Linked DNA regions of Kluyveromyces lactis. The protein of the gene in region 2 interacts with the protein of the main gene of each other region in a pairwise test. Links are inferred from orthologs where the notes say so. Each region holds a gene or a part of one and is shown on either strand. Other genes may lie near its edges.

Region 1 (5,560 bases), about 1.2 Mb from region 2:
AGTATTGCAGGTGAATTGAACTTATCAACATGGAATGATCATTTGTTTGCCAACTTTATCCAAAAATGGATTCAAGAACAAAAGAACTCTTGGAGTCAAGAAACTGTCCGCATGTTGACTGAAAGTCTCTGGAATAGACCAGCAGCATTCAAAGAGCTGACAGCACTGCTGATCAATGCAGAACAAACTCAAATCATTAAGGACACCCTTGAGAAAAATCCAGACATTATCGATGATATTTCACCATTAGGAGATTTGTCATTATTGGATATCTTACCTGCAACACTGGTAAAATCCTCATTTTCCAAAATACAGCAGTACGATGATGTTATTAAAACCAAGCTTTTCTTGTGCATATCAACACTCGATGAGATTAGCATAATTAAGTCGAATACAGAATTACTATACCAATTATTGTTACCTACTGATGATGATGTGTCCCTTAACAATGACAGGAATATCATCATGGATATGTTATTGAAATCTTCAATAGGGCATCAAGACTGGGATTTACTGTCCATGTTATTCGAAGTTTGCTTGCTACGCAGAGATTCAGACAAAATTGTTGACTTCTTGACAGCTGGAAAGATAAAGTTCGAAAATATAAAACCAAACACAATTGCTCGGATGATAAATGAAAGTGGCAAACTCAATTCGGATCTTATCGATTTCCTCAGGGATAGTTTTAAGAATCTAAATCCCTCTTACGTTATCGATTTAATGGAGCAGCTATTAAAACAGACAAAATATCAGGTATTTGATATAATAACGGAGGAGTTACTCAGTTTCATATTTGATATAAAGCAACAATTATCAGCTGATGACAAAGAAAGATTGAAAGGAATCTTTCCTGCTATTGTGGACTACTTCGTTGGAAGCAATCCAAAAATTCTCACTGATATTATGAAATATGTAGTTAATATCATGAAGTCTGCGAAGGAAAAACAATATGGAACTTCACTAATAGTGCTCTTTTTAAATCATCCTGATTTCAAGATACAAGGTAATAAGACTCTGTTGAAAAAGCTTAATGTGTTCAAAGCCAATGCAAAAAGAAACTCGACTCGACAATACAAATTCATCCCTCCAAAGGAAAATAAAAAGGTATCAGATCGTGAGACGCTGCAACATAATGAACAGCAAGATAATACAAATATTTTTCCTTTATCTACATTATCTGTTATCGAAACTAAGGTAACTTCCTCCGAAGAGCTTGAAGTTCCGCTGCAAACACTTTCGGAAACTTCAGATGAGCTAATTCGAACGGGGTGCCAAAAAGTCGTTGAGCCTATACAAAATTCTAATGACAATGAACCAGTAAAAATGGCTGCTAGTGTACAATCCGAAAAGCTTGAAGCAGAAACAACGCAGAATGCAGTGTCACAAGTTTCATCAGGGGAAATGGAAAAACAAACGCCTTCTATTAAAGATAGCAGCACTGAAGTCAGCGAATGTCTGCCAGGTGTTGCAAATAATGATGAGATATCTAAGAACCTTGATACAGTGACAAGCGTTAACTCCCCATCTGGGCTGCCTCTGAAGATACCAATTTTTAATCCTTTCTTTACTGATGTTATCAAACTCGAAGAGGATCTTGCTTCGAAAGGCGATACCTATATATCAGGGAAGCGGTCTTTAGAACTGATGAACTCAGCTGGTGATGTTGCAAGTGCAAATTGTGAAGGACAGCATCATACAAAAAAAATTATGCGAATTGTTTCAAGTTTAAATGATGTCGATATTGATGATGTGAAGTCTTTAAGCAACAACGATAAGAAGCTTTTGAGAAAGGTAATGTATAATTTTATGTTAAACTTAGAAGATTAAGGACATGTTGCAGTCAGATTTTTCCTATCCATAACAAAAATATTTCTCGGAATGATCAATTTACGTAAACAATATCTCTACAGAATACAGTTATTCTTTTGAAAAAGCGTCTCCATTCTAACGGGTCACCCCGTTTCCTTTCAAAAGTAACGGATTTCAGATCACCTTCCAACTGCATGATGACTAGAGATCCTGAAAGTGGGAGCTTATTTCTATCATATGTTTTGAGCTGTATAGACACAGGATAGGGGTTACTCTCTCCGATCTGCCGTTTCAGTTCCAAGAAATTATCGTGAAGATTTCTACTCACTCTAACACCATATGCAACCAAAGCATTCTCTAGGTCTGAGAGGATTACACTAATATCATCAGTAGAGAAAAATTTAGTTAGCCTGTCAGATGAAAAGTTAGGCATTAGCTTCATATCATTAATATTAAACTGCAAGGAAGCGAGATCTTCTTGGATTCTCTTGGTTGAAAATGGCTCCTGCGTCATTAATTCCCTTTCACTTGAAAAATTCGTGCTGCATGTAACCTTTTGAGTGGCAGAGTAGCCGTTTCGCAAATTAGCCGGTAAACTATCTATATGTGCAAGCTCACGATTGAGAGGTTGGGTGAACGACATCTTTGCATGTTGATTGGCAAACACTTCCTGCGTAGAAGATAAATAATCGGCATCTGATAGAGAAACTTTAAGCTTTGATAGTAATTTTTCTGCAAGCAAAGAAGGATTTTTACAAAGGCCATTTTCATCTGCAAATTTCGGATTTGTTTGATACCATGTATGTTTCCGTAAAGTATCCAAAGAAGCTCTTTTCTCTGGATCTGGTTGTAATATTTTTCTCAAGAGATTCAATTCAACGAAATCTATCTTCAGCCAAGATCCCTGATCTAGCTTTCCTTCGCCTTTAATAAAGTTTCTAAACGTTTCATCGTCCTCGTGAGGAAGTTCCCAAGGCGTTTCTCCAGTCAACAAAACGAATAATAGAACACCAATGGACCAAATATCTGTCATATCAGCATAGTACCCATCACAGTATATTATTTCCGGTGCCATGTAGGGAAGACTTCCTCGTTGATCTCTAGAAATACGTTTTGATCCATCTTTTCTCTTGAACAGCGATGCTAGCCCAAAATCTGCAAGTTTTAAATTCCCATCTTTATCCAATAGGATATTTTCCGGCTTGATATCCCTATGGGCAACACCACAGGTATCATGCAGATAACTTATAGCTTTTATAAGTTGTTTATAATAGAATTGGGCGACTTCCGAGTCGACTCCAATGTCAGGTTCGATTTTATCGAAAAGATCACCACCTTCAGCCAGTTCCATGGCTATCCAAAGAAACGGATCAGAAAGATTGCAATCTATAACCTTTAGCACATTAACAAAATTAGAGCATCTAGAATGTAACTTAACTTCCCTCAACACATCTTCCTGACTCATACCTTGTTTCTCACATGAAGGAAGATGTATGAATTTGACAGCAATTACAGTGGACGGATCAACTTCTAAACTAGCTCTCTTCACAAAGGCAAAGGAGCCCTTCCCAATTGTTCTTCCTAGTTGTAATCCATCAATATGAGGGAGCTGAGCTATCTGTGAAAAGCTCATCAATACATCAATCGAAGTGTTCTTCTTTTACTTCTTTTTTGTTCTTGTCGGTTCGTATCTCAGAAATCTCCAGCTATATCAGCCAAACGCACATTCAATATTTACGCAACTGATGTGCTCAAAATATCATCCAACCGTCCTAACTGAACCCCAAGTGATTTACCTAGGATAACACGTCGGAGACTCGTATATAAATCCCGTTTTCCCCATAAGTATCATCATAAAACTATTGTTTTTCTTTTCTGATCAGATCTGCGATAGTCATTAGTTTCTGTCATTTCTTTGCATTTATAAAAACGTACATTGAAAGGGGTTTTACTACGTTTATAGTTTAATCAGTGAACAATAAACAAATCCGATACTGTTGATAGAAGCAACGAAGCAGTGGTGAGCTTTTTAGGAGTGGTAAGTGTAAGATTAGGCAAATATGAATACGATGGATACACTGGATACGCATTTTGTTTCCTCTGTGGAAAATGCGGTACAAGAATCATTGCGAGAGAACAAGGCGTTATTGGTTTATACTACGGGCGGAGATAATTCGTGGTTTGAGTCGTGGTTTACACCACTTGTAGGGGAGCAGTTGAAGGATTCGTGCGTTTGGTTACGTTTAGCTGCTGGAAGCAGGGAAATGGGTTACTTTGAGCAAATATTCCCGGATGTGAAGGTTCCTAGCGTTTATTGTATTGCTAAGGGACAAATAGTGGAGATGATAAATCCAGATCAGTTGGACATGGACGGATTTGCTACTAGGTTGATCCGGGCAGTTGGTAAAAGCAAGAGGAGAATCTCTGAAACGGATGCCGTTGATGCATCCAATACCGTTGGTGCCGCTGGTGATACCGGCGCCAGGTCCGGTAGCTGTCTGTCACAAAATGCGAAATTGATGGAGTACCAAATAAAGGCCAAGAAGCACCAGTTGACAGAACAACAGGAAAGAGAACGTATTGTTAGATTGATGAAAGCGGACCGTGAAGAAATGAAGCAACGAAGATTATCGTCATCATCTCCAAATCATACTAAGGAACACATCAATGAAGTATTGGCTGTACCCATTCACGATAATATTAAAAACAGAGATATAATAAACGCAGCAGTGTGCACCTTGCTTATAAGATTAACAGACGGTAAGACATTGAAAAACGATTTCGATTCGTCTCAAACTTTAAACGATGTAAGGACTTGGGTGGATGCCAATAGGACAGATAAGGATGGTCCGTACCAGTTCCATCGAAGTATTCCACGTGAAACTTTCACAGAATCACAAGAATTACTATCTTTGAAAGCTCTGGAGCTTACTCCAAGATCTGCATTAATCTTGAAGCCTTTGGAAAAGCATACATATTCTCGTAAGATTGCAGATGTAGAAGGACCAGGTTTGCTTGGGAAAATGTATCAGAACGTGACGTCCTGGTGGTACGGTAAATCAACGGTTGTTGATCAAAATATTCCTGAACCTGCTGAAGCATTAACATCTCAAGCTTCATCTAGATATGTTTCTCCCTTATCTTCCCCTCGTCTGGTACACTCTGATGCATCGATACCCTCAAGAGCTGTCTCTCCATCTTCTATACATTACGGCCATGTCTCAGACGACAACAGCAGATAGCACACCTGATTTATGAATCGCCTTTATGTTAAATATCATATGTATGCATGAACGAATTAAATATACATATTAATACCAAATATGAGCAATCACTCTTATCGGAAGAATTAGGCCAACAGTTTCTCGGTCATCTCTTCCTTTTTCGGTTCCTTCACTTCCGTCTTCTCTGCACGAGGAGAGTCCCTGCTCGATACCCTCAAGGATCCAAGTTTCTTTATCAAATCTTCTGTTGAGCCAGATTCCAAAGGTGCTGCAGATTTTTGTTCTTCGATCTTCTTTTTCTCCTTCTCTTTTGTATCCTCTGTTGATAGCTCCTTCTCTAACAGTGACAATTCTTCTTCAAGAGCATCATTGTCGGAAACCGACTCTCCTACTAACAAATTATGAATACGGTCTTGCTTCTCTGTATTTTCTTGGAAATCATCTAATATGTTTGAAATAGAATCTTCATCTAAAAGTTGTGAATTGATAGCCTTCAAAGCGGTACTGCCTTGTTTTAAAAGATTAAT
Region 2 (6,037 bases):
AAGTTAACCATCCCTGTTGTGACATTTGATATAAGAAATACCAGCATGCCGTTACCGTTTACAGCTCGATACGTCTTAGGCACTCTAGGTTTGCTCGTTAAGCATTCGACTATCAGTTGATCGAAGGTTAAGATTAACAGATTGAATGAAATAACCATAGAGGAGTACCCAATTGAGGCAAATCTCCGAGATACCTGTAATGGATGATAGTGTAGAAGAACATACGATATGGCAGAACTGAAGATGCTTAGAGCTACCAATTTCCACAGCAGTTGCATTGGATTTCTGGAGATTGGGAAGAACATACTACCAACTTGCTGGCCAGCTAGGTAGATGATACAATAACCAACAAACGAAAAGATTCCTTCTCTATTCGCAGAAATAAAATCTATTCGTTCTGCATTTAACAAATAGTCCAGAAAGGTTGGATGGTATATCAGGCAAAGCTCGTAGATAATGGCTGCAATCAAACCTATAACAAATCTCAATCTCATGTTGTAGAAATCGAAAATAATCATTGCAAGGGGTAGTAATGAAAGGGTAAAGAAGAAGTTCCAATGGATACCATATTCGGTTGCATGTTCTTGATAGTTTACAGCCTTAACGGAAAACAAACGAATGAAACCCAATACCACTAGTACCACCGTCGACCTTAATGATTGTTTAATTTTAGCCCATTTGGATAATTCAGTTCCAGATTTTAATCTTTTGTAACTTATAATACCATTGCTGAATACAAACGATCCAACACCTAGATCCATCAATGAAATGCCCCAGGTTTCTACCTTGGCATATTTCCTAGGAAAGATAGGGAAATCTACAGCCAATATGGCAATGGAAGTTAAGATCAGCATTGTACTCCTATACACTGTGAGGGTTGCTGACTGGTTGCCATTGTCCATTACAGTTTCTTTAATCGTTTCGCGTTTACTTCCCTTAGATATACATCCAAATAATAGCACCGCACTTAAACCTAATATACCTGTAAGAAATGGGTTTTCCCCAAATACAGTAACACTACAGAGGAGACCCATCCAATTCAATAAGAAATCTAACCAGAAGGAGTCCCGGTAGCTGGGATTGTTCGAAACGACGTAGATCCAAGCGGCGTTAGAAAAAATACCGGCTAATGTGACATCTCGTAAATCTGCAATTGAACTTCCGGAGTGTCCGGTAACGAAAGCTTCCTTCCGGTGTTTCAATTCATCAATTACACCAGAAGCATCCATGGTCTGATATCCCCGAGCCTGTATACGTTTCTTGTACTTACTTCCTTTATTGAACCTTCATTGATCTAGAGCTTAATAAACAGGTAGAATGACACTTGTCAATATTTTCACTTTTAAAGGAAGCATGCACAGAAGAGTAAATCTGGAATATAGGTTCAGACACGTAAAAATGACACACATTTAGGAGTTAGAGGCACTTCTAAGCAGAATAAGAATGTTAATGATCTTGTTACAGATAATATCCGAATGGATATGTATACATATATACATACATATATATGGCGTGACGTAATAATACATGAGATTTATGAAACATGAGAAATGATGTCTTTAGCTTGGCTTCTGGTAGAAATCTTCCTTCTTTTCAAATTCTGCTGCACAGATGTCGACGTTGATGCTGATCCGTACGTGATCTGAGTATGCGAAAGATGGTCACTATCATGACCTACAGTTTGGATAAAGCTTGATTCCTCATTCTCTGTATCTACATTATTTGAAAGAAGTTTCCCCCAACGGTTCCCTCTATTTGGAACATGAGGTAGTTCTGCTGATGCAGAAGAGGCAGTTGACAGAGGTGCCGCAATATCAACAGGAGCGGGTTTCTCTAGCAAAGGATCCTCGTTTCCTCTTTCCTTTGGAATTATTTGTAGTGCAAAGTCAGATTTAGAACCCTTGGGACAAGAAATACACCAATTAACGTCATTAAAGTAGATGTTCATGGAAGTCTTATTAGGTTTCATTGCTCTTTGGAAGAGTTCAATGACAAAACTTGGAGTTAGGATGGGAATATGATGAGCTTGCTTAACGAATTCAATTTTCCGTTTCATTGAATTTCTAAACATTTGAGCTTGATTTACAGAGATCTTCATATCCAAATCTGTCCTGAACATTGACGCGTACTTATTTTGCCTTAAAGTATGTTCCTGTGGTATTGAAGTCAATTGGGAGATGTTAACGAGTAAGAAATCCGTCTTCTTCGTCAATTTCTCATGATGGTCAAAACCAATCAACTTCAAAAAGTCTATAATTTTATTGATGTGTAGTAATTCCACGCCATGGAACCCTGTGATATGGAAGGAAAGTTTAGGGCCATGTAACACCGATTTAGGTGGAATGATATTGAAATCGTTGTAGAAAGGTTTTGACCAAAAATCCGGAGGTAGGAGTTGTTCGTAATACAAACATCGTTCGATGAAGAATTCTGTCAACCACGATGATTCATTTGGGATTCTCGGCAGTAGATTTGCCGGAAATCCACTTGGACAGATATAATAAATGGTCTTATCCTTCAGCTGTGCCGGTGACGGTGATGTATCCTCGAAGAGGGAAGACGTTCCTTTATTACCGCGAATGACATTAGATAAGATAGTAACCTGTCTTTTTTCGAACTTGAATAGCACGAAGTGACAGTCCAGGAAGGTCGGTGTATCCTTTGTCTCACCAAGGCATTCTTGATGCGTTGGGGTGGCTTCCTTAATATCAGTGGACTTTGACGCTGAAGCATCACCATCTCTTGCCAATAGTTTCCCCCATATCTGATTCGCTTGAGGCTTAAATTTATCTATAGCAATCTTCAACGGATTCACCGAATCATCTTGTACACCCATGGGATTTGGTTCAGTTACAGATTTTTTCTTATCTGGAACGTCACGAATGTACGAACCAGAACCAATGTCAGAGTATTCAAGTTCATGACAATTTTTCAACAGGTAGAAAGATTGAAAGTCTAGAGTCCCTGATCTGTCCATACAATCAATGATCCATTTTGGATGCACTACGGGAACGTTCTCTTCTAAAGCAGCCTGGACACGGTTCCCCGATAAATCATCGGTAATAAACAACGAAATGCATGCATTGGATGACGAAGAGTTCCTAATGAAATGCGTGGTATCTACCGATTTCACTTTACCCAATTTACACAACTGAACCAACGACTCAAGAGAATAATGGTTATTAGGTCGTATTCTGCCAATGAACAAGTTAAATTTTTCAAACGACCCGATAGAGTACTTCGATTTTAAGTACTGGGACATATCGAATTTAGCCAACTGCAACAGATCTTCTCCTGCGAGCCACGCATCGTACAACTGATCAACGGATCCCGGACTAACAAACACGATATCAGTTCTATTCTTGACAGCAAAGTTATACTTTGCGGTGAATAACTCTCCAACAACCAATACGTTGACTAGTCTTGTCAAATCCTTGGTATAAGTCCCACCGAGTTTTGTCACTTTATGTGAGATGGTATCAGAAACCGACAACGGGAGAGACGTAGGACAGAACACCAGTCCTTGAAATGGTTTGCCGGACATGTTTGCTCTACTTCAGGGAGAATTGAGGAAGAAGAAGAAGAAGAAGAAGAAGCTATCTACACCTTTGTTCCAGCTTTTTAGACACATCATCACCATTCATATGTGAAGGAAGGAAGGATGGATTGGATATCTGTGTAAATACGCGTTTATGTGTGGAAAATAATAAACAGAGAAGAGTTGTAAAATGACATTTGTTTACAGGTCACGTGGACGAAAAACACAAGCTACCCAGGGTTACCCTGAGAAAACGAAAACCAAAACCAAAAATTAAACACTAACCACGTGACTACAGCGAATCTCCCCCTTCCGGCGCCCCCCCCGTCGAGTCATCATCCTTGTCAGCAACCGTCCAGCTGACTCATATATCTGTCACATGTGAAATTGCAAGAAGCAGGCAAACATCGCCACCCATACACCATTCGGACTTGTGACTTCTCCCCGTTAGCCTTTCATCCGGACAAATCCTTTCAGGTCCTTACTCTCCCTACGATAAACCGATATAACTGCACAAATTTTTTTGCTGACTACACGGAAAACCGCGCCTAGAACCGCTTTTTTTGTCCCCAAAACTTCCTTTCCCCAGATCCGGCTGAAAGGGACAATTGCAAAACTGGAATTACACACTACTAACGCATATTAATTAGCCCTCTTATATAGTCTATAGCATACCGAATACTGAATAATATGTCCAACGTCACTTGTGGAAATGTCACAAATGTCAGTTTCTGGGATCCATCAATTAAGGGAAATTCTTCAAACGTCCCAGCTATCTCGGTTATCTCATTGGTTTATTCTCTTGGCTTGTTAAAAGGTAGTTTCTTCTTGCCTTAGTTTCTTGAATTAGATTTCTCGAGGGTTTTTATAGCCAAATATTATTATTATTATTCATGATTCTGAATCAGATATATAAGACAAACGGACCTGGGGAAACGTTCTGCCATATAACCATGAACCGGAAGGTTTATGGTAGGTATCAGATGTTTTTTTTTCTGTTTGGAACGTAAGCTTGCTATAAGCTTCCTGTAGTAGCGCCAAGTATATGTATATATCACTATGCCAAGTGTTTCGCAGGATGATGTAAAGGGCGTGCTTGCTGGTAAGATGTCTACTGGTAATAGCAGTGATGACAGTAGCAGTCAGTCAGGTAAGAAGCGTAAATATGGGAAAGTCGACAAACACAATGAGAAGAAATTGTTGATGCCTACGGCATCAACAAAAGTGAAACGGTTTTCACAGGCATGTGATAGATGTAGGCTTAAGAAGATTAAATGTGACGGTATCAAGCCTAGTTGTTCCAATTGTAAGAAGATAGGGTACCATTGTTCGACTAGTGATAAGCTTACAAGACGCGGGTTCCCTAGGGGTTACACGGAGATGTTGGAGAACGAGGTGATTAAGTTGCAGCGGCTTTGTGGGATGGTGGACGAGAACGGTGAGACCGTGATTGATGGTGCAGTAGCTGCCGTGGCAGCTACTGCACAGACGGGTGTTATTCCTGCTGGCCAGGAATTCCTTAACTCTGTGGGGGAAATGGGAACAAAGTCTTCTGTTTCGGTTCCTCCAGCGGCATCGGCAGCGCCAGTACCGGCCCAGGCCCCTGCGTCCACGTTCCTACCCTTTATCAATGATACTTTCCATAAATTCCCAAACTATATCCATGACCAAGTGTATCTAGGTAATTTCACCTGGAATTCGATCGTCAACCATAATAAATCTCAGTTGAAGTCTTTCCAGTATACAAGGTCTATCGTACAGGACCCGGTTCTATCGTACCTTAACCGACATTTCCCACTTTCACCGAGCGGTGTACCGATTAATATCCCCTTATCTGCTGAGGATGTAATACGATTAATTGATAAGTACTTGAACTCGAACCAAATCTTCCCATATCTCTTGGGGACGTCATGGCACCAACGAATGATCTCGGTACTAACCGGGACTTCGACTGTCTCTGACCCTGCGGTGTCCATTGTACTAATACTTATAGTACAGTTCGAGTTGAATTGTTTCAATAACGAGACGATTTTCCAGGCGGTTAAACTTTTGGGTTCCTTGTCGCAGGACAAATTATCATCGATTCAACTGATGAATTTCGGAATACGGTATTTCATGTCCCAGGAGAACCCATACTCTGTCATTTGGACTAACGATTTGATTAATTTCAACCAGTATATGATCATCAATTCAGCTTTGTTCTTGAATTACAACAATCTTGTTGGACATGAAAACTCAACGTCAAAGGTTATTAGGCTTCTCACGTTTTATCAATTCCAAGTGTTCCAGATCTGGTGGTGTTTCATCAACGGATTACCTAAGACTAATTTCTTAATCGATGAATTCCATCCACCAACCATTTCAGAGTTCCCACCTCATTTGAAGATGTTCCAACTCATTTATGATTTCATATTGCAATTGGATGGTTGTCACCTTCAATTATTAGCTAATGAGACTAACAATAAATATCAGCTGTTGATAGAATCCTTCGGTTACAAA

The links.
Region 1: the proteins of DPB11 (region 2) and CHK1 interact in a two-hybrid assay, tested with the Schizosaccharomyces pombe proteins (2 studies listed by BioGRID). The link is inferred for Kluyveromyces lactis from reciprocal best matches to the Schizosaccharomyces pombe genes rad4 and chk1.

What each region holds. Positions count from the first base shown.
Region 1 is NC_006042.1:118,119-123,678, forward strand, and holds CHK1 (serine/threonine protein kinase CHK1), read right to left. Parts: upstream 3,443-5,560; coding exon 1,883-3,442; downstream 1-1,882. Other genes in the region: DNA-binding protein RIF1, read left to right, coding at 1-1,827; KLLA0_F01298g (UBX domain-containing protein), read left to right, coding at 3,870-5,051; phosphatidic acid-binding protein CHM7, read right to left, coding at 5,159-5,560.
Region 2 is NC_006042.1:1,324,328-1,330,364, forward strand, and holds DPB11 (protein kinase activating protein DPB11), read right to left. Parts: upstream 3,545-6,037; coding exon 1,535-3,544; downstream 1-1,534. Other genes in the region: GWT1 (glucosaminyl-phosphotidylinositol O-acyltransferase), read right to left, coding at 1-1,229; SIP4 (Sip4p), read left to right, coding at 4,598-6,037. UniProt on the Schizosaccharomyces pombe protein: Essential component for DNA replication and also the checkpoint control system which couples S and M phases. May directly or indirectly interact with chromatin proteins to form the complex required for the initiation and/or progression of DNA synthesis.